Nothobranchius furzeri: one gene and its partner. The protein of the gene in region 2 interacts with the protein of the main gene of each other region in a biochemical or structural test. Links are inferred from orthologs where the notes say so. Each region holds a gene or a part of one and is shown on either strand. Other genes may lie near its edges. The genes, in order: transducin-like enhancer protein 1 and lef1.

The links.
Region 1: the proteins of lef1 (region 2) and transducin-like enhancer protein 1 form a complex in vitro, tested with the Homo sapiens proteins (2 studies listed by BioGRID and IntAct, with this or other methods). The link is inferred for Nothobranchius furzeri from reciprocal best matches to the Homo sapiens genes LEF1 and TLE1.

Annotation. Positions count from the first base shown.
Region 1 is NC_091757.1:48,848,755-48,860,948, forward strand, and holds the start of transducin-like enhancer protein 1, read right to left. Parts: upstream 7,786-12,194; 5' UTR 7,588-7,785; coding exon 7,564-7,587; intron 7,386-7,563; coding exon 7,285-7,385; intron 6,642-7,284; coding exon 6,578-6,641; intron 5,951-6,577; coding exon 5,906-5,950; intron 1-5,905. UniProt on the Homo sapiens protein: Transcriptional corepressor that binds to a number of transcription factors. Inhibits NF-kappa-B-regulated gene expression. Inhibits the transcriptional activation mediated by FOXA2, and by CTNNB1 and TCF family members in Wnt signaling.
Region 2 is NC_091746.1:81,734,085-81,745,771, reverse strand, and holds part of lef1 (lymphoid enhancer-binding factor 1), read left to right. Parts: intron 1-4,646; coding exon 4,647-4,779; intron 4,780-9,728; coding exon 9,729-9,819; intron 9,820-11,075; coding exon 11,076-11,195; intron 11,196-11,687. UniProt on the Homo sapiens protein: Transcription factor that binds DNA in a sequence-specific manner. Participates in the Wnt signaling pathway. Activates transcription of target genes in the presence of CTNNB1 and EP300.

The DNA of each region.
Region 1 (12,194 bases), on a different chromosome or scaffold from region 2:
AACAGCTATGTGTAATGTGTGCAAATTGGGACTTTAAGGTGGTGGAAAACACAGAGCTGCATTTAACACTACAAATCTGATACGCCACCTTTACAACAAACCCTGGTCAGCTCACTGAAAGACATGCAGCCAGCCAACAATGATCATATTCATTAAAACAAAAAATAATTGCCTACGACAGGAAAAAAAAAAATTAAAAAAATTAAAAAGTCACAACCAAGATAGCAGTATATTTATTACACTTGATGACACGTCATCACGGCTGCACAGTGGCATAGTGGTTAGAGCTGTTGCCTTGCAGCAAGAAGGTCCTGGGTTCGCTTCCCGGCCTGAGATCTTTCTGCATGGAGTTTGCATGTTCTCCGGGGTTCTCTCCGGGTACTCCGGCTTCCTCCCACAGTCCAAAAGCATGACTGTTAGGTTGATTGGTATGTCTAAATTGTCCTTAGGTGTGAGTGTGTGTGTGCATGGTTGTTTGTCCAGTGTGTCTCTGTGTTGCCCTGCGATGGACTGGCTCTCTGTCCAGGGTGTACCCCGCCTACTTGCCCGTTGACTGCTGGAGATAGGCACCAGCCCCCCCGCGACCCTATGTGGACTAAGCGGGTTCAGAAGATGGATAGGTGGACACGTCATCACCCTTTACAGACAGAGCTCTACAGGTGTTTAGAAGAAAAGAGCGAGCCTGCTGGCAGTGACGTGCCTGCCCTGTCGCAGGTATATGAATCATTCAGTACAGCCGCACATTGTTTAACTATTAGAAATAAGAGCAAGAAACAGCTTTTAAATATATTTGTAATAGGATCATGTTTCTCCTCTGCGTACTTTCTGAACGAGTGATATTCTTTAGCAGATAAACTGAGGGAAATACATGAGTACAGAGAACAAGAAATACATAAATAATTATAATAAATAAATAATTTTGAAGTGTTCTCTTTTTCTTATTTGAATGCATTGCTGAAGTTTCAGATTAGGACTCTGTATCAGGAGATACTGAAAATCAAATGGCTCAAAAAATGGGATTGGAACATTCAATAGATCTGTGTGGGGCTGTATTTATGTTGGTAATGTTCTCAGTGCTATTCAGATATGTGGTTCTCGAAGTTGGTGTTGGGACTCCATTATGGGTCAGAAAATACCAACTTTATGGTCGAACAAGCTGAAAATGCCCTGTGTGAATGTGTGAGTGTATGAATAATGGAAAGTGGTTTGAGTGCCTTAAAAAGCACTAAATAAATGTAATCCACTAACATTGTCAAAATGACTCCTAACAGAAATTATTCACTGTAATTAATGCATAAATGGACAAATAATAGACTAGAGTATGAGAGGGTAGACACTGTTTGGTCTGGTTTAGTGAGGTCACACATCTTTGACATTGATGTTCTGTGGAAGAGAAGCTGAAAACTGTCTAACTAGTCTAGGTGTACCATATAAAATAAACTGATACATTGACTTAATTAAAACGATGAGGTAGGCGCGTCCTGCTAAGCGTGAGCATACCCAACTTATGCAAAGAGATCTTTAAATAAAGTTCTATTTCAGGCAGACCATACATGTTCATCCATTATAGGATCCTGCTGTAAGCCAATAATTAGATTTGTGTAAAGGTTAAGTGATTATGCTGTCAGAGAATAGTTTGACCAGCTACTATTAGGTTATCCTTGCTAATCAAATTTACTACACAAAGCCAAACACACTCAAAGTTGCAAACATCATGTGAGGCTTCATCACAAACTCTTCTGAGAGATTCTTAAAGGGAAAATAAATAAATATTTTACTGCAATTCTGGAAAAACAACAATGGAAATTTTTCACAGAAGCTTTCATGTTTCTAAGTTGAGAATGGTAAAATGGCCTGTATTTGATATAGCGCCTTCTAGAGTCATGGAACCCCTCAAGGCGCTTTACAACACAATCAGTCATTCACCCATTCACACACAGGTGGAGATGAGCTATGATGTAGCCACAGCTGCCCTGGGGCGCACTGACAGAGGCGAGGCTGCCGAGCACTGGCGCCACCGGTCCCTCAGACAACCACCAGCAGGCAACGTGGGTTAAGTGTCTTGCCCAAGGACACAGCGACAGACTGAGCGGGGCTCGAACCTGCAACCTTCCGATTACGAGGCGAGCACTTAGCTCCTGAACCACCGTCGCCCCAATATAGAATATAGAAAAAGTTTCAAGCATACAAACAAAATGTCCATTAGATGAACAGGCTTCCTATTACACATATAATTGGAGCATTATTGCAACACAACACAACACATACACACACACACACACACACACACACACACGAACGCACAACACACATTTTCATGCATCCCCAGCAGGAGGTGGGTTGTTAGTCTGTATGCCCGTACCACCCGCCCACAGAAGCTTGTTGCTCTGACAACTGCAGCCCCAAGCTAATGACCTCCCCTGAAGCTTTAGTGTGTGTGTGTGTGTTTACATGTGTGTGAACAATAGGAAGAGCTGCATCTCCTTCACAATGAAAGAACAGCAGCTTCACATGGACGTAGAAAGAAAGAGGAGTCAAGGAAAAACAAAGAAAGAGGAGGAGGCAGCTTGGGGTCTGGGTGAAAACCAGAATAAAAAAGGACTGGAGAGAGAGGAAGCGATGAAAGAAAATAGGGCTGCACGATATTAGGAAAACCTGCGATATTCGATAACAGTGCTTAATATTGCGATATCGATATTACTTGCGATAAATGAACAAATACTAAAGTATGCAGTGTTATGTCATCTGGCGTGTGACGTCTGCTCTGGGTTCAAAGCAAACAAAAACTAATGCATGAATAACATAACATTTTTATGGCAAAAATATGCAGCTGCACCTGCTACTGTATTAGCAGCAAAACAACAAACTGCATGCATGCAGTTCCTCAGTGACTTTAAAACATCACCTCCACCATAAAACTTTTCTGATGCTCCAAATACAGAAAAACATCCCTCACCAGGGTCTTTTGAATAAATTAAAAAATCAGAAAATTACTTTAAATGTTAAATAATAGTTAACATCACTTAAATGCAACAGCAAATTCTCTCATTGCTACTGAGCATTTTCTCCACTTATGTGGTTATGATATAAGGCTGTTGCTGTAATTGGGAAGTGAACTGTGCTGGGCCAAACTAGGAGAATATTAAGATTTTCTGAGGGAAAGAGAAAAACAGTTGTCTACCTTTCAGAAGAGGAACTGGCAAAAATCTACATGGAAAATATGTGAAAACGTTTGTTTTTAACCCCACATTGAACAAGTTTACCTAGATCTTAAAAAGCAGCTCAGATGATGAAACTGCAACTATGATTCTGATAACAAGCTAACTAATTGAACTAGCTCCTCTTAAGATAACCAGCTAGCAGAGCTTCTGACTGACAGTTTATGTGCAGCAGCAAATCAACTATCCTGATTAACAAGGTTATAAAAGCTCATAAATGAAAAATCACATTGATGTGTGGGGGAACTTTTCCAGGCCCTCTTTAGCAGGGTGGGACTGGGAGGAGAGTGCTGTAGCCTTTTAGCTGGAAGCTAACCGGAGCCTGGGGCTAACATCACCACCCGGTGGAACACTAGCAACATGAAGGTGGGTTGGTTCACCGGCACGTGTAGGAGTCAGCCCGGTTATTATCAGCTGCTTAACGACACCAAGCGGACTCACGTTCACGTTTGAAAGCAGCGCTTAGGGATGGGTACCGAATTCGGTACTTTTTAAGTTACCGACCGAATTAAATAGTACCGACCGAGCACCGATTCACGTCGTTTCAAACGGTGCCTCGTTTCGGTACCCGTCCTTCACAACGAGAACTTGCCTAGACAGCTGCTCATGCGCACGAGCGTTAAGTCATCGGTCGCTGCGAGCGAGTTGTAAACAGAGCAGCATGGTAGAAAGAACGCACGCTAAAGCTTGGGTCCACTTCACTAAATGTGATGGGTAACTGGGTGATGATGAAACCAGCAACAGACAACGATCTAAGTGAGACATCCTCATCTTAATCTGCTCCGGTAGGTAAATAAAATGTTTAAGATAACGTTAGCTTGATATGTTAGCTTCCATTTCGCTAATGGCGAGTTCGCTTTCTCCTCGAAACTCCGAATTTCCGACTAGAACATGAACGCGCTCTAAAGTTTGGCTTCACTTTACTAAATGCGACAGGTGATTGGGTGAAGATGAAACCAGCGACAATGATCTAAGTGTGAGACATCATCGTTTTAATCTGCTCCAGCAGCTAAATAAACTGTTAAAGATAATGTTAGCTTGATATGTTAGCTTCCATTGCCACCGTTGTTATCAGCTAATGGTGCGTTCGCTTTCTCCTCGGAAATTCTAACTTCCCAGTAGGAAAAATCAAATGAAAAAAGACGGCAAAAGGAATGAAGATATACAGTAAATTTAGTTCACAGTAAAGATGTTTGCTTCAGTTTAATTATCAGCTTATAAAACTACAAGGACGATGTTAAAATACAAACAGCTGTATGTTATTTATCGTGATATTTATCAAATATGGTTATATATTGAGAAAAATATATATTTAATTATAAAAGAGAATTAAAATAATAAACACTCAAAAGTATCAAAAATTGGTACCGTTAAGTACTGGTATCGATTCCTAGGTACCGGGAATTAGTACCGGATCGATTCAAATGTCAAAGGTACCCATCCCTAGCGCTGATTCCAGAAACGTCAGCACAAAGTGTGTTCGTTGCTCTGAGCCAGCATGACGAACAAGGAAACGGCGCCGCTAACTCAGTTCGGGTGTTGCGTTCCACCCATCCTGTCTACGTAGGGGCGGGCGTATTATGTGAACGGACCCATCTGATTGGCCGCATATCAGAAGGACTACATTTGATTGGTCAAATAATACTTCCACATAAAAAACAGAGCTGGTTTACAAAAAGTTGATGTATGACATGGATGGAAATGTTTGAACCAAACATTTATCGCCGTTTTTGACGTGTTTTGCGATGGGCCTATCGCACGTCCTGTTATCCCGATGACGATAATTTTTCGATATATTGTGCAGCCCTAAAAGAAAAGAACAGAACCTGGGGGTGTAAAACAGAGAGAATAACAGCAAAGGAGGTAGAGAATGTGAGAGCAACACTAAAGGAAAAGAGTTTAAAAAAAAAAGAAAAAAAGAAATGCATCCTCTACTTTCAGTGAAGTAGCCAAGCCAATCCACCTCCAATTTCCTCTGGTCTGACTGGTCGATAGCAGTGGTAATTACTGGTAAATGCTCTAAGCCCTGCACTACTCCTGTGGGAAATGTGAATAAAAGAAGGTGAGTGTTTTCTCCTGCAGTCAGAAATATATTTGTGTACACTCATGCATAAACATGCTTAACCTTCAGTATTTGTGCATGCATTACGCTGTATGAACTGCAGTAAATTACCCATGGCCTCATTTGCACACATTATTTAGAGTTTAGGACGAATGCCCTGTCTGGTTTGTAAACACAAGTATCCTTGCTACATCGTCTCATACGTTTGCATCTGCTTCTACAAAAGGGGAGCGACACTGTATCTCCTCAGCTGGCCTCACGTTGATCGATTCCTCTGCCCTCCCCAGCCCGGCCCATCTAATGTAATAAAGCAGACCGCTCCCCTAGACAGCACCAATCAATCTACAGAGCCATTCATTCTGCCTCTAGACTCGGCTGGCCGGCCCTAACTGGGAAAATGGAGACAGAGCCCCATCGATCACAAATAAACACACATCCACTGCAGAATAACACACACACACACACACACACACACACACACACACACACACACACACACACACACAAACAAATTAACAGACAAACACTTTTGAGCACGTACACACACACCCATGCTAAATACATCAAAATCCTGCCAAGAGGAAGTGGAAAAGGGGAGATGTACAGATCAGATAAGCAGCCATACCTGTTTGTGCATTTCTATGTTGAGCCCGTATGACATCTCGTAGTACTGAGGACAGAGTCACACAGTTAGCTTAGTCAGAGAAATCTTTTATTTTCACAACAATTAGTTTTTTTTAAACTGTGCAACACTCTTTAAAGGCCCCAGGAGTAATCACATTTCCTGTAGAAAGCCCACCATTCAAATGAGTCACTTTCCGTTAGAGGTAGAGTGCCTCAAAAGTGAATTAAAAGCCTTAAACACGCCTCCTTTTAACTCAGCTTACGTAAAAATATTGAAACTTTGAGGTTAAAACTGAAAGTTTATGTGATGCAAATCTGCTGCTGTTGTCTTTTGAGATCTCAGTTTTGCTTTTATTTAGGATGTTGTGTAGTTCTTACATTTAGTTTTTATTGCCGTTTTTCACCCTAGCGTCATTAAACTGATAAAAACGAAGCAGTCTAATCTCACTTTTTGTTGTGTCTGAGTAAGGAAAAGATCATTTTTACACAAAAAGCAGGTGTTACTTTCAAGTTATTGTTTTATTTTAACTTAAATAGGACTTCCCCTTGTTCAGGTAAACTCCATGAAAATCTTTTACACATCTGGAAATGGAACAACATGATCTTCCCCAAGGGCACCTCAGTGGCCTTCCTGCAGCATGTCATGTGAGGCATCGCAGCGAAAGGATCTTACCATGACATAGTGTCTCTGCATCTCGGTCTTTTCACTGGCCAGCTTCTCACACTCCAGTTTCAGGCTGCAAAATATAAAGCAGTGCACTGTTTAGAGGAAAAATAAAACTTTTTGAAAGCTTAACAAGTTCGGTTTTATTTGCCCTATATTTAAAGTAAGCACATAACAACTGTCTCTTGTCTTAAAACACCAATTCTCTTTGGAGCACCCATATGGATGATTGCAAACACAACTAGAATCACAAATTCTTGCAGTGACGTGATGAGTGTGTTCAATGCAGTATGCAGATTTATTAGTCTGAGAGCCAGTGGCTTTCACCCATCATTACGCCAACTACGCCAACTTGCACTGAAAACGCAATTAAATAAAAGTGGGTAGAGCTTCCACAAAACAGAATAAGTATGCAAAATAAGCCCAACAGTGGAGGGGAAAAACAGCGACTAATTCATAAAACCCTGAGCCCACATGACTCTTTGCTTTGGCTCTCACCCATCACTAAGACTTGGACCTACCGCAGTGTAAATGTTAAAAATGGTGCCTGCTGCATGCTTTTATGTGAACATAATCCAGGTTTATGGGTTAGTCTGAGCTCAGACCTGGGGTTTTTAGTGTGGGAGAGGGTGACGACTGTGGTTACACTGAGGTTTGATGTTGATGGGTAGACAGACGTGTGTGTGTGTGTGTGTATGTGTGTGTGTTTGTTCCACCTGTGGTACTGTGCCTGGAGGAACTGGAACTCCTCCTTTATGCGGTCCAGTGACTCTGGGATGGTGAACTTGAAGGGCTGGCCCGGAGCCTGATGGGGCGTCTAACACAAACACACAGGATTATCAACACCACGATGCCAAGTGGAGCCTGATATTAGTTTTTAAAAGTTCAGAGCTTCACTTCAAGTCTAAAAACTTGACTCTGTGATTGTAGAGCTCGGGTATCAGAAGGGAACCGCGGAGGAGGATGAAAAACAACTAAAACAGGAAGAAACTTACCGGGTGTCGCCCCTGGGGGAACATCGTTGCCTATCTCAGCGAGGATGCCGCGTGTCCTTCCTGAATCCCAGATAACGAGGGATCGAATAAGCACTGGGGTGTGTGAAGCTCCTCACGGACACGTATCCATCCGCCTTTTCTTTTATTAGAGTACCAACTGAATGTTAAATTCAAGCCTTGCAGTTTGCGGGCTCACCAAGCGTTTAACGGGAATGCCCCGACTCCTCCTCGCACCGACCCTCCGGATCGTTGTCTCTTCTTGTGCTCCAGCGACAGCGCAAGCGTTAAGTCAACCGGAAAAGCACCGCTCGTTACCTGGAGGCAGCAAAGGCTGGGAGGCGGGTCGGAACCAGGTGTAGTTTAAAGTATTCCGAGTCAAGCAAACACAGAGTAAAACACTCAAAAAACACCCAACGAGTCGGAACACACACAGCCACAAACTGTCCGCTCTCGGAGCATCAGACACGTAATATCCACACAAGTTAATTGCAGTGAAGAGTTCCCACTTGACTCGTCGCGGTCGTTGGTTGGCGGTTAAACAGTCAATAAAAGCAGAATTAATAATTTCCACGGTGACCTCGGGTGGGAAGCTACGTCCAAAACATATTTCACCGAAAAAAAGAGGAAATATATCGTTAATTTTATAAACAAAAATCTACAAACCAGCGCGAGCACTCTAACGTCTAGCTCTGCTTTACCTCAATGGCAACTTTCTCACGCGGTTTCACGCTTCCCATCTAACCGAAACTCAAGACCAGCCCACAAAATGCCTGCTGGCCAATCAAAAAAGCCGCTCCACGTGGGGACGAGAATACGGCATGTGGAATTGTCCAATAGCGGATTTGAAAAATTCCTAAAGTCCATTGACCTCGCGGAGCTTTGCGATTTTTGACCAATCAGCGCCTCGAACGAGCCTGCCACTTCGGAAGCGCGCGGGGCGGGCAGTGCGGTGGGTAATGGCCATCTGTCAATCAAAGTAACGTGGGTTTAAGCAGGAGCGGCGCGCGCACATGAACGTAAACACAGGCATAAACAAACAAAAATAAAAAAGATAGAAAAACGGCTTTTCTTGCTCCTTCTCAGCCAGTGTCATGGCAAATCAACAGAATTATTCTTTTCCCTCGTTTCTTTGTAAGCACCTATTCATTATCTGACACTTCATGGCCCACTTCTCTAGAAAATAAATACGATTTTCATCAGATTCATTTGATTTGTGCTTTGTTTTAGAGCCAGTAAGGTGCTGTAGAGGACTTTACAAATGTATCCTAGTCTATACTGTGAATACAAAAGAAAAGGAAACATGTCAGGAGACAGCCCACATAATATTAAAATGTTTTGCTCAAACAAGACACAGGACAAGGAGGGAAAAATGTAAAAATGTAGTCATTTAATGATGTCTTGCATTGTATAAATGCCAAGATGATAGTGAGAAAATGAAAAAAAGAGAAGATTTGGTAAACAAATGTACAAAACCTCCATTATAGGCACAAATTCTAACCTTTGCCATGTTTCAACTGGATAAAGTCTGACCTCATGATTAGACTAATTCCTGTGCTGGTCTTTATTTTCTCACTAATGTCAATATTTCATTGTTAAAAAGTGACTTGTGTTGTTTGCAAAGTCTTTGATCACTTTGAATCAGCAATAACCCTCACATGTAACAATCATGAATAACGTTAAGGCTTGAGTTGCTCATATTTATCTCCTCTAGCTCCTTAACTCTACAAGTTTCACTGATAAACAACCTCATCCTGATCAGTGAGTTGGCTGGAACTGGATCAGGCTCGTTTTCTCTGCTCCACCTATTCCATCTAAGCACCCCTCACTTCACATGGAAAGCCCCAGAGCCCCGCGCTGACCTGCGTTTGGCTTAAAGAGCTCAACCCTTGACCTCTCACCCTCTGACACCTGCAGCGGCTGATCCAGACCAAATGAGAGACTCCAGACTGTTACCATCGCCATTTTTCCACAACTCCAGCACAAAAATGTCAGCTCGACACATTTGTTTGTGCTTCATGCAATCGTTTCTTTTATCTTCTTCCTCTTTAACCTCTAATTTATTTGAAATAAACCAATCACAATCTAAATCAGTAAGTTTTCTGCATTTTTATTTAATGAAAATAAGGGAATTTTTCATCCTTTCTCTGAAAACCCGAATTTATTTAAAGGTGTGGAACTCTGAAAAAAACATTTTTAATGACTAGTTCTGATTGTAATAGTTCACTGTGAGTTTTCATGCAGGATGAACATGAAAATGGTCTCCTACATCTATCTGCTAGTTTAGCTTCTGATAGAAAATAGACGGTGAAACACTAGGATTTGAAAAGCCTGACAAATCTAGGTCACACTGTCAATTTTGGCTCGCAACGGGGAAGGCGGTTGTTGGTTTAACGTCCAAGAATCAGCAGACAAGGTCCTGACTGGTAGAAGCTAATCATTAGCATTAGCAACACCGTCACACAGAAAAACCCCTCGTGACTTGTGTTACTTGTGGAGATAAAACACCCACGTTGCAAGTCAGTGGTAGTGCTGTGTTGCTGTTATCCAGTCTGAGGTGAGATATCCAAATATCTGGAAATAAACCTGCTGATCCAAGCACTTTTGGGCTTTTCTCGCTCTGGTTTGCAAGGCATTCATTCCTAGAGACTACTGCAAATCTATTGATTAAACACACAGCAATGCAACCCTACCACTGACTTGCAACGTGGATGTTTTATCTCCACAAACAACCACCAGGAGGAGATTTTCCATGTAGTGGTGTTGCTAATGCTAGCTTACTTTTAGCTCATACTAGTCGGTACGTTGTCTGCTGATTCCTGGACGTTAAACCAACAACAGCCTTCCCCGTTGCAAGTCAAGATTGATGTGTCCGTGAATGTTAAGTGACAGTTAATGCATTTGCATACGCATCACAAAACCAAAGTATTGCCCTAAAATTACTTGTGTCAGTTTTTTAATTGCATGAAAACAGGTCAGCCGAACTAAACATATTTTCTATCAGAAGCTAATGCAGGAGATAGGTGTAGGAGACTATTTTCATGTTCAGCCTGCACGAGAAATTCAGTGACCAGACCACACCTTTAAAAGAAATACAAATTTTGCCTTTTTATTAATAATAAGATGTAAGGCGATCGCAGACAAATTGTTTTTGTTGTTAAGAAAAGTGAAATCTACATTCATGTGCCTAAAGGAACTTCTCTCCATAGATTGCTGTTGGTTTAAAAGCAGAACTTGAGACAATGCTCATGGATTCCTAAAAAAAAGAGGCAACACTAAACATTTCTGGTCAGTTCTTTATTAGCGCTCTAAAAAGAGCAGCCACGAGGACAGTGCCAAACAACTTGTTTTACCCCTTCATCCAAATTCAGTTTGGATTTTGCATGCACGTTATTTTCATCATCTCATCACTTCCTACAAATGCAAAACCTCCTCTGATGAAATCACCCGTTTTTTCACGCACCCTAGTTAGCTGCAGACCAAAGCTTTGCAAATATGGCCCCTTGCCTCAGAATGTTACTCGGTGTAACACCAAATTATCATACCCCAGAGAATTAGGAGATAAGCAAATGGAGGATTTACGCAGTATTTTAATGAGATACATGAAAGATTTGGGTTTTCTGTAGGTTTGCCAGTTTCAGACTGCTGCCTAAACACTCAGTCATGATGCTAATCAGTGACCTTTAAAACCTCACGTGACTGAAAACAGGGTTGAAGTCTAGACTGGGATCAGAGTAGATTATTTTTTTCTATTTCATCGTGAAACGTTTTGATTCTTTACAATTTTTAACCACTACCTTTGCCACTTTAAAGGTGTGGGAAACTTGTTTCGTCAATACATTTGCAAGCTGTACTCAGGTCAAAAAGATCCCAGAAGCACTTGGATCAGAATGGAAAAGTCTGCTGCACAACACGGCAGGATTTGATCCCTTATGTCCTGATTTCTGGAAATCTCACTTCGGATTGGATAACAGCACCACGACTCTACCACTGACTTGCTAAACAAACAACAGCCTGCCCCTTGTGAGTCAAGACTGACGAGTCCATGAATGTGAAGTGATAGTCAGTGCGTTTACATGCACATCAGAAAACAAAAGTACTGCTGTAAAAAGACTTGCATCAGTTTTTTTAATTGCTTGTAAACGTGTTAGTGTGGCTGATAGCGGACTGGTTCTAATCGAGCTGAAGCACCCAGATAACGCGGTAGCCATCCAAATGCATTCTGCATGTAAACAGGTCAGCCGAACTGAACCAGATTTTCTGTCAGAAGCTAATGCGGGATAGCCTGGCAAGCCAGACTAAATAAATGTATTATTTAGTCTGGCCACGCTCCATTGACGGCTCTCGGCTGTGGGGCGGGTTCTACCGTTGTCTTTCAAATGATTTCCGCATTCCACTGGACAATGAATGAGTGCATTTACATGCAGCCAGTAACCCTTTTAAAACCCGAATATTCACAATAACCCGGTTCCGCACGGCCATGTAAACACAGCCAAAAACCCGGATATGCTCATAACCGGGTTTTTAAAAACCCGGTTACTACACCTGGGGGTAACCCTTTTCTAACCCGAATGTTTGGTCGTGTAAACGCATACCTGGATATCCCCATCAAAGCGTGTGTTCTGCGCATGCTC
Region 2 (11,687 bases):
TGGTTTAATCAAAGCCTAGAAAGCATCAATCATGCCATTGAAACCTCTTCTATCCATATGAACTTGTCATGTAGAATAACACCTGTTTGCTTTCTGTACCTGCTCCGGCTTACCGTGCAGTGAGAAAACGGGATGATTAGTTCTGTTCTGTTTCTCTCGGTTTGTTAATGGCGCCACACTGCTTAGAAATTAAGAGTCAAACACTTAAAAAAAAAAGCGGATCAAGTCTTTTCATCGGGGCAGGCACATTTCACACAAATTATCCTCCTTGCACGTGCAGAATGTCGGCAACCGAGCTGACGTGAAGGGTTGCTTCAAGCACAAGACGGCTATGCCAGCTGAAGGATGATGGGTAATCCATCTCGTCCTATTCACTGTTGAGTTTAAACGTGAAGGGGAGTCTTTTTTTATGTTCGTATGTTTCATGTTTGTGGCGCTTGCTGCCTTGCCTCTATGATATTACGTATTTTTGAACATGTATTTGGACCTTTTTGCAATTCCCGATTTCCACAGCAGCACCATTCATGTAGCTAACTGGGAATATTTGACTGTGTGGTTGGAGCTAGTGTTTTTAGGAACATTTGACAAGTGTTTTGCCTGCTAGACATGTTCTGCAACCACAAACTGTCTTTAAAATCAAAACATGCCTGAGATGATGTTTACGTTTTCTTCCTTAAAACTCCACTCAGCCACAGGTCTGCGGTCATTTCTATCAGCTGGCTGCAGCTTCCCGTCGGACTCTTATTAGCATGAAGGGGATTTTGATTGGAATGAAAGGAGAAAAAGTCCGATTGGGAGGCAGAGCAGATGTATTTTCCTCTCCAGGGCAGGCTTTTTCTGCTATTCGCAGCCTCCCCTGCTGCTGTCCCCGTGGTTGGCTTCGCCTGTTCGTCTCATTACCCTGGGCGCGTGGCACTCCTTAGCTCGCTGGGAGCCCAGCTTTCTTCCTCATTAATTGGGTTTCGTTACATTAAGCCGCCTGGCCAAGGGGCAATCCCGCCACTGAAACATTTCATTTTTTAGCACTTCACTCGTTGCTGGTGGGGTTCAGCCGGCTCTGCGAATGGTAATTGGTTATTTATTTAAGCTTCTGCAGGTTGGTCTCCGACTGATTTTTGGTAAAGAGGGAGGTACGGCGCCTTCTCTGTTCCCACAGTGTCCCAAAGCTACTACATTACAATGTTTGCTCTCTTTTGTTGCAAAAAGGTCGTCCGAGTTGCGCACAAACACACCTGGTCTTGGGACAAGCGTAGGAATTCTGGAATGGCCACACCCTTGCTTCATACTCAACCGTTTGGTGTTTGCTGATGCTTTTGTCTCCGTAACCTTCATCTCTGGTTGCATTGTCTGTAGAAACAGTAGCTAAACATCATTTATGCATTCAGAGGGTTGGTGTTCTGGTAGGACTCTGATGTAATTATAACATATTTCCTGAAGCAGCAATCATGTCATAATATTGGTGCAAAAATGCAGCAAACTTTTGTTATTAAAATTTCTTGCCTCACGTTTTTTTCCCCTCTGTTATTACTCCATGCCATTTTTTGTGCATCTTTCTCACTTCGGAGTGCAGAAAATCACATGAGTGGGTGAAGATGGGTGCTAGGGTGAGAGGGGCTTCTTGGTGAATAGATTTAGCAGCATGGGAATCCATCACCACTACTCAAGCTGCCATCTCCCCAGCTGTTTGTGAAACACCTCACACGGTTCCTTATACTCTTGATTGTAGCTGCGGGCATGAAAGAGTCCTCATTGCATATAAATTACAGAAGTGGGAAGTGATTATTATGAAATTCCCACTTTTCCCCCCACTCCACTCTGCAGAAGTGGTATAATTGAGCAGAGTACAAAAGCGGTGCTGTGAGGCGGGAGGGAGGGATGGCTGAAGAGGAAATATTGGAGGAATGGTTGCTTCATATAAACACACAACATTATGATGGCGGAATAGGACCAGAAATGAAAAGACCAAACGTCTACATCCCAGTTGTCTTCCCCGCCCCCGGTTTGAGACGACACACCAGCTTCCCTCACTGAAACACACTGGAGCGCCTCGTCTGTCGAGGGCTTCCTGCCAGCTTCAGTTCCGCACAATGAATTTGGTTTAAAACCACATCTGAAGGGCTTTGTTTTTAAAAAAAAGGACCGGCCGAGGCTGGATATGATATTCCAAATGGAACGTTTGCTTTTCAGTTCTCCCTGCCTCGCTTCTGCTGCCCCCCCAAAAAAAGTGAAAAGAAAGATCCTAAGCCTATTATTTCTCATGTACAACAAAGGGCACCTCCAATATGGCTACCCTCTATGAAACAGCGATGCTGCTGTGGGTTTGAGAGCCTGTGTGGGGAGAGAGGTGACACAACCGGTCAATCGGTCTTTTTTTGGAGAAACCCCTCAACTTTCAGCTGATTCATCCTAGGTAGTTGTAGAGCTTTTGGCTTTCACGTTCAACATTTTTTAGTCCAAAAACCAGCAGCGTCTCGAGTTTTCGTCGTCACGTTTGATGTTATCTGGAGTTATTGATGAAGCTTTTAGAATTCTTGTGAAAGGAATTGTTGTTCTGTTCTTCTAAAAGCAAATCAGGATTGGATAAACCAGTGTGGGTAAATGCACCCGTATTGGTCACAGAGACTTCCAGCCTCTTCCGTGGTGGATTCCCTGTTTCCTCCACAATGGAAGAAGGGTTTTATTAAGAAATTAAGAAAAATTGGATTTGACAGCTGTAACCACGAGAGGGAGAGGTTCTCCGCTGTGGTTGGCGCGTCTGGTTAAAGACTCGGTTACCCTTTACACTTCTGTTTTATTAAAACAACGACGGCAGAGTGATTCGTTTCCATTAGCTTGGTCTTTGTCCTGCTCTTTACTCAAAGTCTGAGGAATCATGGCTATAATGGTAATCTCCTAGGCTCTTATCTCATTCCCACAGGATAACAAATGGGAGAGGAGAGGCGTAAAATAATACGGGTGAGAATGGCATCATTTAGCCTCTGGTGAAGGCATGTCCAGTCTCTTCATCCCTGGTTAGTCCCTCTTTTAGGTTTAGCAGCCTTCCCCTCGGTCGGATGGGGTCGAGCACTCTGACTCAAAGATTATCCCATCACCTCTGACTCTCGGTGACTGGGAGGGGGGGTCACAGAGCTCCTTTTCACCTGGGTTGGTGTGGAATTGCTATGAAACTACCATGGTGTTCAATGTTCATCAAGGTGGGAACAGGAAGTCGGTCTGATTTTTGCCCGTTGCTAACTTTGAGCGGAAAAAACTCACATGCCCCGTCTGTCAGGATCCTGGTTAGGACGTTCCCAAAATGGGAAAGGCTTTGAACCGAAGCTGGTGCCAGTCTGCGAGAGGTGTATCCAACATTCCAGACACCCCGTGTTCGAGGGGTTTGATGAATATGTGTGTGTGGTGGGGGGTGTGACCACCAGTCTCCACTTAGGACTGCGAGAATGTCCCTTTGGCTCACAAGTGTTCAGATGGAAAGAAGCTAATAAGAACTTTTCAGTAAATGGTTTCGACCGGGGTCTACAGGTTTAATAAAAGTGGAGCAGAATCGTTCAGGGCGTGTCCAGCCTTTCACAGATTAGCCGTATGTCCTGTAGAGGTGATATTTTGACTCCAGCTCTGCTCTGGGCTCGGATTGTGAATGGCAGATTTAGCACGGCTAAGCATTCCCATGTGTTTGGTGCAGCTGGGGGGGGGGGGTTGAACTGCTAATTGTGAACAGGTATGGTCTGTGTGAGCCAGCCGGGGACTGGGGGTCCATGGACGGGCCACTGTTGACGTGATAACCTCTACGTTGGGTTAAGAACCGCTGCAGACATCTGCCTCGCTCCGGCTTTCTCACCAGTCAAGCCCCTCCCCTCCCCACCCCACCTCCCCCGGCTCTTGCTCTGTAATGAACTCCCCTTATTCACCAGCTAATGACTGCCTTTGATCTCCCGCCTCAGACCTCTGCTCCATACCTTGCAAGTCTCTCATTTCTCTCCCCTCTCTGCTCCGTCGCTCGCCCCGTTCGCTTCTCTTCTGTTTGCGTCCTTCTTTCTGCTTCACCCCCAAACACACACATCTTTGCTTTTATTTATTTTTCTCTCGTTTCTTCAGGGAGTGGCGTCTTTAATCCCGCTGACCTGTGCTGAAAGTGTAGAGCTGCTGGGCTCAACAACAAACGGGAACAATGTGTTTTAGAATGGAATCAGTCTGTATTGCCACTGCTGCAAGAACAGTGGAAGGCGCTTTGGCGTCTCTCCGTGTATATGCGGTACACAGAAGAGATAAAATAACAAGTATGTACTAAAAGGAAGAATTGTGTATTTAAAAAAAAGCTGTGTATGGCATTGAGTTGAGGTTGGGGGGAGGGGTTTTGCTAAAACCGTAATAAATAAGGTTGTAATAAATACCGTTGGAAGATAATAATACTGGTTGCATTGCAGTATACATAGAAACACGATTTGTAAATATGAATAAGGTGCAGTGTCCATGTTGGTGAGTGTCGGTGGAGCAGTTACCTTTTCATCAGGGTGGAGGTAGAGCCTGTGCTGCACTAGCTGAGCCAGCGTCCTGCTTCTGCATGACAGAAACGACATTAGGTCCATAGTGTTCATGTGAAAAATCAAAAATTTTATTGTAATCTGACCAATTTGCTTTTGTTTCCACAGTCCAATAAAGTCCCTGTTGTGCAGCCGTCCCATGCAGTCCACCCTCTCACACCACTGATCACGTACAGCGATGAGCACTTTGCTCCAGGCTCCCATTCAGGCCATCATCCCCAGGATGCCAGCAACAAACAAGGTAAGAGACACGCCGACACAACGTCGTTTTGTGTTGTCTGAGTCGTCTCGAACTGTGAAGGAAAAAGCACCCGAGTCGGTCTCTAATCCAGCATCTGACTGGGATGCAACTGTTTGCAGGAACATCAACAGATTGTTAGTTGGAACTTCAATAAATTTGTACAAATGATCCTCGAGGAAGAAGTTTGAGTACGGCAGTGTTATGTTGGGCGAACAGAAGGGAACTGCCCTGCTAATGTTTCTTGTGGCGGTTTAGTTCTAACGTGTCTCGATTTGCTTACAGTTTACCCCGCATGCCATTTCAAGTTTGTTTACTAACTGCTCCATCGTATTGAGTTCTTTGAACTTTGACTCTCAAAAACTACATTGAGAAGGGTTTGAGACGGGTTCCAGACAGCTGTGATGACTCTAATAGGAGTAGAAACTAGTCGTGGCCCAAAACCAGCGACATTTTTCATCTGTGACTGAAGGAGTACAAAAACACGGAGCAAATGTTTTATTCATGGATGGAAATGGCAGGAAACGTGGGTTTAGAGGTGGCGACCGCATGAAGAGGTGGAGGAGAATGAGAATGTTATAAAGTCTCTAAAATACATGAACACATTCACTATCGTGGGATCGGATACATGGGTGTAATGGTGGCATGATACGCCAGAACAGAGCTACTCCCTCTGCTGTCCTGGCGGGGAACTGCTTTGCAACACTCCCCAGGTGACGGAGAAGTCCGAGAGCAAAACATCTCTGTCAATGAGTGTGTCTCTGCCTAGCGGAGCTGACGGAGATGTATAAATCAGGCTTAAGGGCTGCAAAATGCTTGGTTTTAACAGTGTGTATATACATGTTTATTATGACTGTCTCCTGTAATGTGCGTTGATTTAAAATGTTGTTTGTGCGCATCCCCCGAAATTAACGAGACGCGTTCGAACGCTGCAGTATACGAGTAACCAGTAGGCGGAGTTAACTAAACATGTGAGACACCCACCATGGTTTAGAGGACTTCCATACTATCTATGATACCGCTGCTGTCGTTTTTCCTGCCGGGATCTCCAAATGAAACAGATCTTTTCTATTGACACGATGTTTGTTTCGAACAAACCCTGGACTCTATCGGTCTGAACTGAGCCCCCTAACGAAGTCCTTCAGTACTACGTGCAGCGCAGTGCCGTGCAGCAGCAAGCATGTGAAAAAAGACGCAGCCTGCGCCAAAACACGTAAAAAGCAAGCATAACCCGACCCTAAGACTCTGGCTTTACGTGTCAAATCTGGGTGCCTGTTTTAAGAGAACACCTCCATAATCCCAGATCATGAATCAAGCTTAAACAAATGAAATCTAAAATGTGGTCTCGCTTTTACAGAAGCTCCAATCTACCATTCATGGACACAATTTTCACTTTAGAAGTGGGGGGGACAGTGGGGGGGGGGGGGGGGGGGGGGCTTTACAGTATGCTCTAATGGGAAACCGGCTTCAACACAAACGGTTGTTTTCTGCTTGGTCCTAGAGCTCAACCAGTGTCAATTTAATATAGCGTAATATTGTTTTTGGATGGTAAAAAGTGCAGGGGTCAAAACTTGACTTTGGAAAAAGTGTGTGGGGGGGGCATGTCCCCCCTGTCCCCCCCCCCAAAATTACGTCCATGCTACCATTGATCAAACTCGTACGTTAAAGCCATTATTGGATGATGTGCAGTTTATGCTAAAAATATTGGAAGTCATCTCGGAGGCAGCACAAGTATTCTTTTTTTAAACGACTGTCAACACCGTCAGGAATCCGTTGAGACACACACACAGAAATATGTCGGAGCGAAGTCACCCTGCCACCATCTTTTGCTGTGAAGTCATTTGAAGCAGCCGGTGGGATGTCGCGCTGAGCTCGTTGCCCTCTCCCTCTGCACTCGTTGCCTCTCAGGAATAACATCAAGCTGCAGCTCTGACAGCTGCAGAAGAGCTCCTCTGCCGTTTGGACGAGCTCCTTCAGCCCTGCGCAGCTGGAGGCTTTGGCAGCATCTCACTGATGCTAGCAGAGGAGGAGAAAAATTCAAAAAAAGACGTGGGCCAAGCGTGGTTTTGTCCCGCACCTTTTCACTTTCCTCCGCTTTCTTCTCCTGCAACTGTCACTTGAAAAGGATGAGGAGTACGAGGAGATGTAGGTGATGATGATGAGAAGGATGGGAGGCTCTGAGGGACCGGCTATAAATAATCCTACGGAACGAAGCGTGAATGTATGCGGTGCAGGGAGATGAAGGGAGCGGGACACGTAAAGAGACAACGCTCCACATCTGCAAAGCTTCTGAAACAGATGAGAGCTTTATTGTAATAGATGCATAAAAGGACTAACAGGCAACACAACAACAAATGCACCCGTCTTTTTCTGTGTGAAATTTTGCTTTTCACAAAAAAAGACGCAATAATTCCCCCGTTGGCAACTCCTTGATCTCTGCACTCACAGCCTAACAGAAATCCATGTCCAAGCTATCCAGTTGCAGAATTAGCTACAAATAATTTCCCCAGGCTGTGTGTGTGTGTGTGTGTGTGTGTGTGTGTGTGTGTGTGTGTGTGTGTGTGTGTGTGTGTGTGTGTGTGTGTGTGTGTGTGTGTGTGTGTGTGTGTGTGTGTGTGTGTGTGTGTGTGTGTGTGTGTGTGTGTGTGTGTGTGTGTGTGTGTGTGTGTGTGTGTGTGTGTGTGTGTGTGTGTGTGTGTGTGTGTGTGTGTGTGTGTGTGTGTGTGTGTGTGTCAGCAGAGCTAAGCCGAAGATGCTTAAAATGAAATCTCTCCCGTTCTTTTTTCCCCTTCCACAGTCCCTCTCGCTCTTTCTTCTCTCCTAATATCGACCAATAGCTGCTGTGCTTCCTTTAGTGGGCTCAGACTTTGATCTGCTCGTTAATTATGAAAAACAATCATGGATTTTCTCATTATGAGCTCTAATATGCACAGGGCTGCTGCGTGGGATGGAAGGTCGAGCAGAGGGGGGTGGGGGTGTTTGGAGAAAATAAATAAAATAAAGACGTTTTGTTTGGGACGTGTGAACATGAAGGGGCGAATAATTAGGCGTCATACACGTGTGAGCGACAAGGTTAACGCATCAGGGTGCTCTTTTCCTCCCCCCCACTGCTTCGCCACTCACCTGCCTCCCTTCTGCCCTCCTCAGGAGGGCCCTAAAGGAGTGTTAGGTGGTGGATTAGCAAGCGGGGAGCCGAGCTATCCGTGCTACGAATCCAGCGACGCAACATTGGCTTTGGAGATATAAGCCTCCCACCCGGCCTGCCTCTCGGAGGAGGGAGGCCCCTTCAGACCACGGCTTGGAGAGAGGAGGGGGAGGAAAAGATGGAAGCAAGGAGAAAAGGATGGCTCCAGCAGGGATTAGAAGACGGTGCTAATCTGGAAGCATTTGCCCTCTTTTTTTTTTCTTTTGTACACACAGGCGCGTGAACAGCTACATCACAAATCTGCATGTCCTTTTAAAAGTGGGCAAAACCGGTTGCTTCAAGTCAGAAAAGCAGGAAGTTGAAGCAGATGTTTGTCATCCTGCAGCACTGTCACAAAAATAGACCTCTTGACCTTGAAGCCCAGTAGGAGCTGGAAATGGAGGAGCTTAGTCCTGGCAGAGGAGTGGGTTAATACCAGGCCAACAGGAAGACCGCTGGAAGAGACCATTACACACAGGAAGGAACAGAGTTAGGAAAAATGATCATTTACCGCAGATTATTGAGGTGAGGTCAGGTGAGGTCAGAGGGCATGTTCACGCCCTGATGTACGGGCTGGGATGGAGGAGGTTGTTCAGGAGGCGATCTTGTCAAATTTTACAAACACTTCAAAGATCTCTTTAAAGGCTAAGTTCACTGAGAACTTTTTTTTGTACTTATGTTTGAAATCTGATCAGTCACTCTGAGGCCCTGTCCACACGTAGACGGGATCTGCCAAAACGTAGATATTTTCCTACGTTTCGGCCTGTCATCCACACGAAAACGGATCTTTTTAAAAACTCCGGCCAAAGTGAAGATCTGCGTTTTCTCCGTTTTGGGTGTCTGCGTGTGGACGGACAAAACCGGAGTTTTAAGGTCCGCAACGTCACTTTCCGCGACAGAAAAATGCTGACATCACGAGTGCGACCTGTGTTTACACTAGCCGACAGCACGGATGCCCTCAGAGCTGCGCTCGCTTTATCAATCGTCCAAGCGCTTTCTGCTTGTTTGTTTTTGCAAGAGGAATTACTGCTGCTTGCGGAAGACCACAGACGAAGGACGAGGTTAAGAACGGGGGAAGTACTGCCGCCTACAGGTCTGGCATGTCCTTAACAACGTATTTATCCGGGTACGTGTGGATGCAAGTTTCTGGAGGGGCGGATATTCGTTTTTTTAAAAACCCCGGCTACGTGTGGACTAGGCCTTAGTTTAACATGCAGGCTACATGTGAAAACAGTCTTCTGCCCCATTTCCTTCATCAGCTGATAGAAGCTATTCAGGGAAACGCTCGGATTAGGATAACCCACACAGAATTAGCTTTTCGCTCACCCATCGTGGCTCGAGACGAGGAAGGCTGTTGTTGCTTTAGCTTCCAGGTGAGCACAGAGCACCGCTGGGGTGGTAGAAGCTAACAGTTAGCATTAGTAACTCCACAACATGGCAGAGCTCCTCCAGGCTTGTGTTGTTTGTGGAGATGAAACATCAACATTGCCAAGCGAAGGGAGTTGCTGTCAGCCAATCAGAGGCAAGATGTGACATTATCAGGAAGTAAAGACTCCAAATCCTGCCGTCTGCTGCGCCCCTCTGCCCTGGCTAACACCTACTTCCTGAAACAGGAGCGCCGACGTTTATACCCCACAGAGATCAACCTACGCTTGTGCAAGAGACCACTGCCCATGTGTTGAATCGAGCGAACCTGGTCTTTAAGGAGAAATTAAACTTGTTAACATTTTCACAAATCTTGATGCTTGTGTACGACCTTTGTTTGTAGGAATGCCCAGGCATCATCCCGGACCAGACATGTCCAATTTCTACTCGCTGTCTCCTGGGGGAGTGGGGCAGATCACGCCGCCGCTGGGATGGTGAGTCACTAACTGATGACCGTAAAAAGCTCGATGATTCATGCTGACGGGAGGGTGTGTGTGTGTGTGTGTGTGTGTGTGTGTGTGTGTGTGTGTGTGTGTGTGTGTGTGTGTGTGTGTGTGTGTGTGTGTGTGTGTGTGTGTGTGTGTGTGTGTGTGTGTGTGTGTGTGTGTGTGTGTGTGTGTGTGTGTGTGTGTGTGTGTGTGTGTGTGTGTGTGTGTGTGTGTGTGTGTGTGTGTGTGTGTGTGTGTGTGTGTGTGTGTGTGTGTGTGTGTGTGTGTGTGTGTGTGTGTGTGTGTGTGTGTGTGTGTGTGTGTGTGTGTGTGTGTGTGTGTGTGTGTGTGTGTGTGTGTGTGTGTGTGTGTGTGTGTGTGTGTGTGTGTGTGTGTGTGTGTGTGTGTGTGTGTGTGTGTGTGTGTGTGTGTGTGTGTGTGTGTGCGTGCGTGCGCGTGCGTGCGTGCGTGCGTGCGTGTGTGTTGAACGGAGGGTGGCTGGTCTGCAGCAGCAGCTCCAACAGGGAGGTCTGCCTCTTGGCTGTTTCTGGTGCACTGCTGTGGCTTCGACCACACTGCTCCTCTGTGAGCCCAGCACAAGTCAAACACATCACCGCGTGTGTGATCCTGCACAGCCATGTGGCTTCTTAACCTCCATCAAAGCTTTCTGAGAGCACTCCTGCTTCTTCCAGATTCATGCTTGTCAAAATGATCTAATTCCCTTTCTATCTGCCGTCGTGTCTTTGCTTTACCCGGTGCCTTTTCAGTTCCTGTCATGTTTTCATCTCCATTTTCCTCTTTCTCTGTCAGTGGGATTTTAAATTTAGGTGACAAAGTGGAAGTTTAGTTATGGTTTTAACAAAACAAGTCAGGATTCAATGGTAACTAAAGCGACTCATAAATGATTTTATACATGTTGAAATGAACAGGAAAGGCAAAACGCGTTGAAAACCAGAGATCCAGATGTTTTTGGGCAATTTTATGATCAGATGAGGGTTTGACTCTAGTTTATGTTTGATGAAATCCTAAAACATAGATTGTTTCTGGAAGAAACTTCATATTTAGATGAAACCATGTTTAAAAATGAGTGATCAATTTAGCATTGTGCTGCATTTGCATCATTTTCTAATCTACAAGAATGTGCATGTTCAGCACCAGCTGAGCATTCTGGTTTCAGTAGGTGTGCAGAATAAAACTGGAACGTGTGTGTGTGTGTGTGTGTGTGTGTGTGTGTGTGTGTTTGATTTAAATTCTTCCTGCAGGTTTTCTCACCACATGGTGCCCGGCCCCCCTGGTCCCCACGCCACAGGGATCCCCCATCCGGCCATCGTCAACCCACAGGTCAAACAAGAACCTCCGCATGAAAGTGACATCATGCACATGTGAGTCTTCCTTTTTTTTTTTTTTTTTTGCTTCATCAGCAGGCTTTCTGAGATGATGTACTTCCAGGTTTTTGTGGCCTCCACCACTGCAGGAGTTCATTGCTGACCCCCCCCCCCCCCCCCCCCCCCCCTTCTCTCAGAGCCTTTTGATGTAAACCGATAAGCAGCGAGGGTCGCTGCTCCTCTGATAGCAGGCCCGTGCCTCGTTTGGCCTTGAGGAGCACAACGCTCAGCCGACAGATACGTGAGATTAGAGCTGGGGATGCAGGAGGTGGTTATGGCTGATGCTTTCATTATTCATGGCAATCGCTGCCTCAAGTCTGCGCCAGCATCACTACAAAAGGCCACAAAAGGAATCAGGAGCGGGAGCAAAGTGTTTTTCAGTGTGGAGACGTTTGGTTTTAAGCAACTTCCAATGTCCCTTGGACAAAAGTTTGGTTGCTGTTAATGGTGAAGTAATGTCTCCGCATGAAGGGCTGCAACTGCACATGA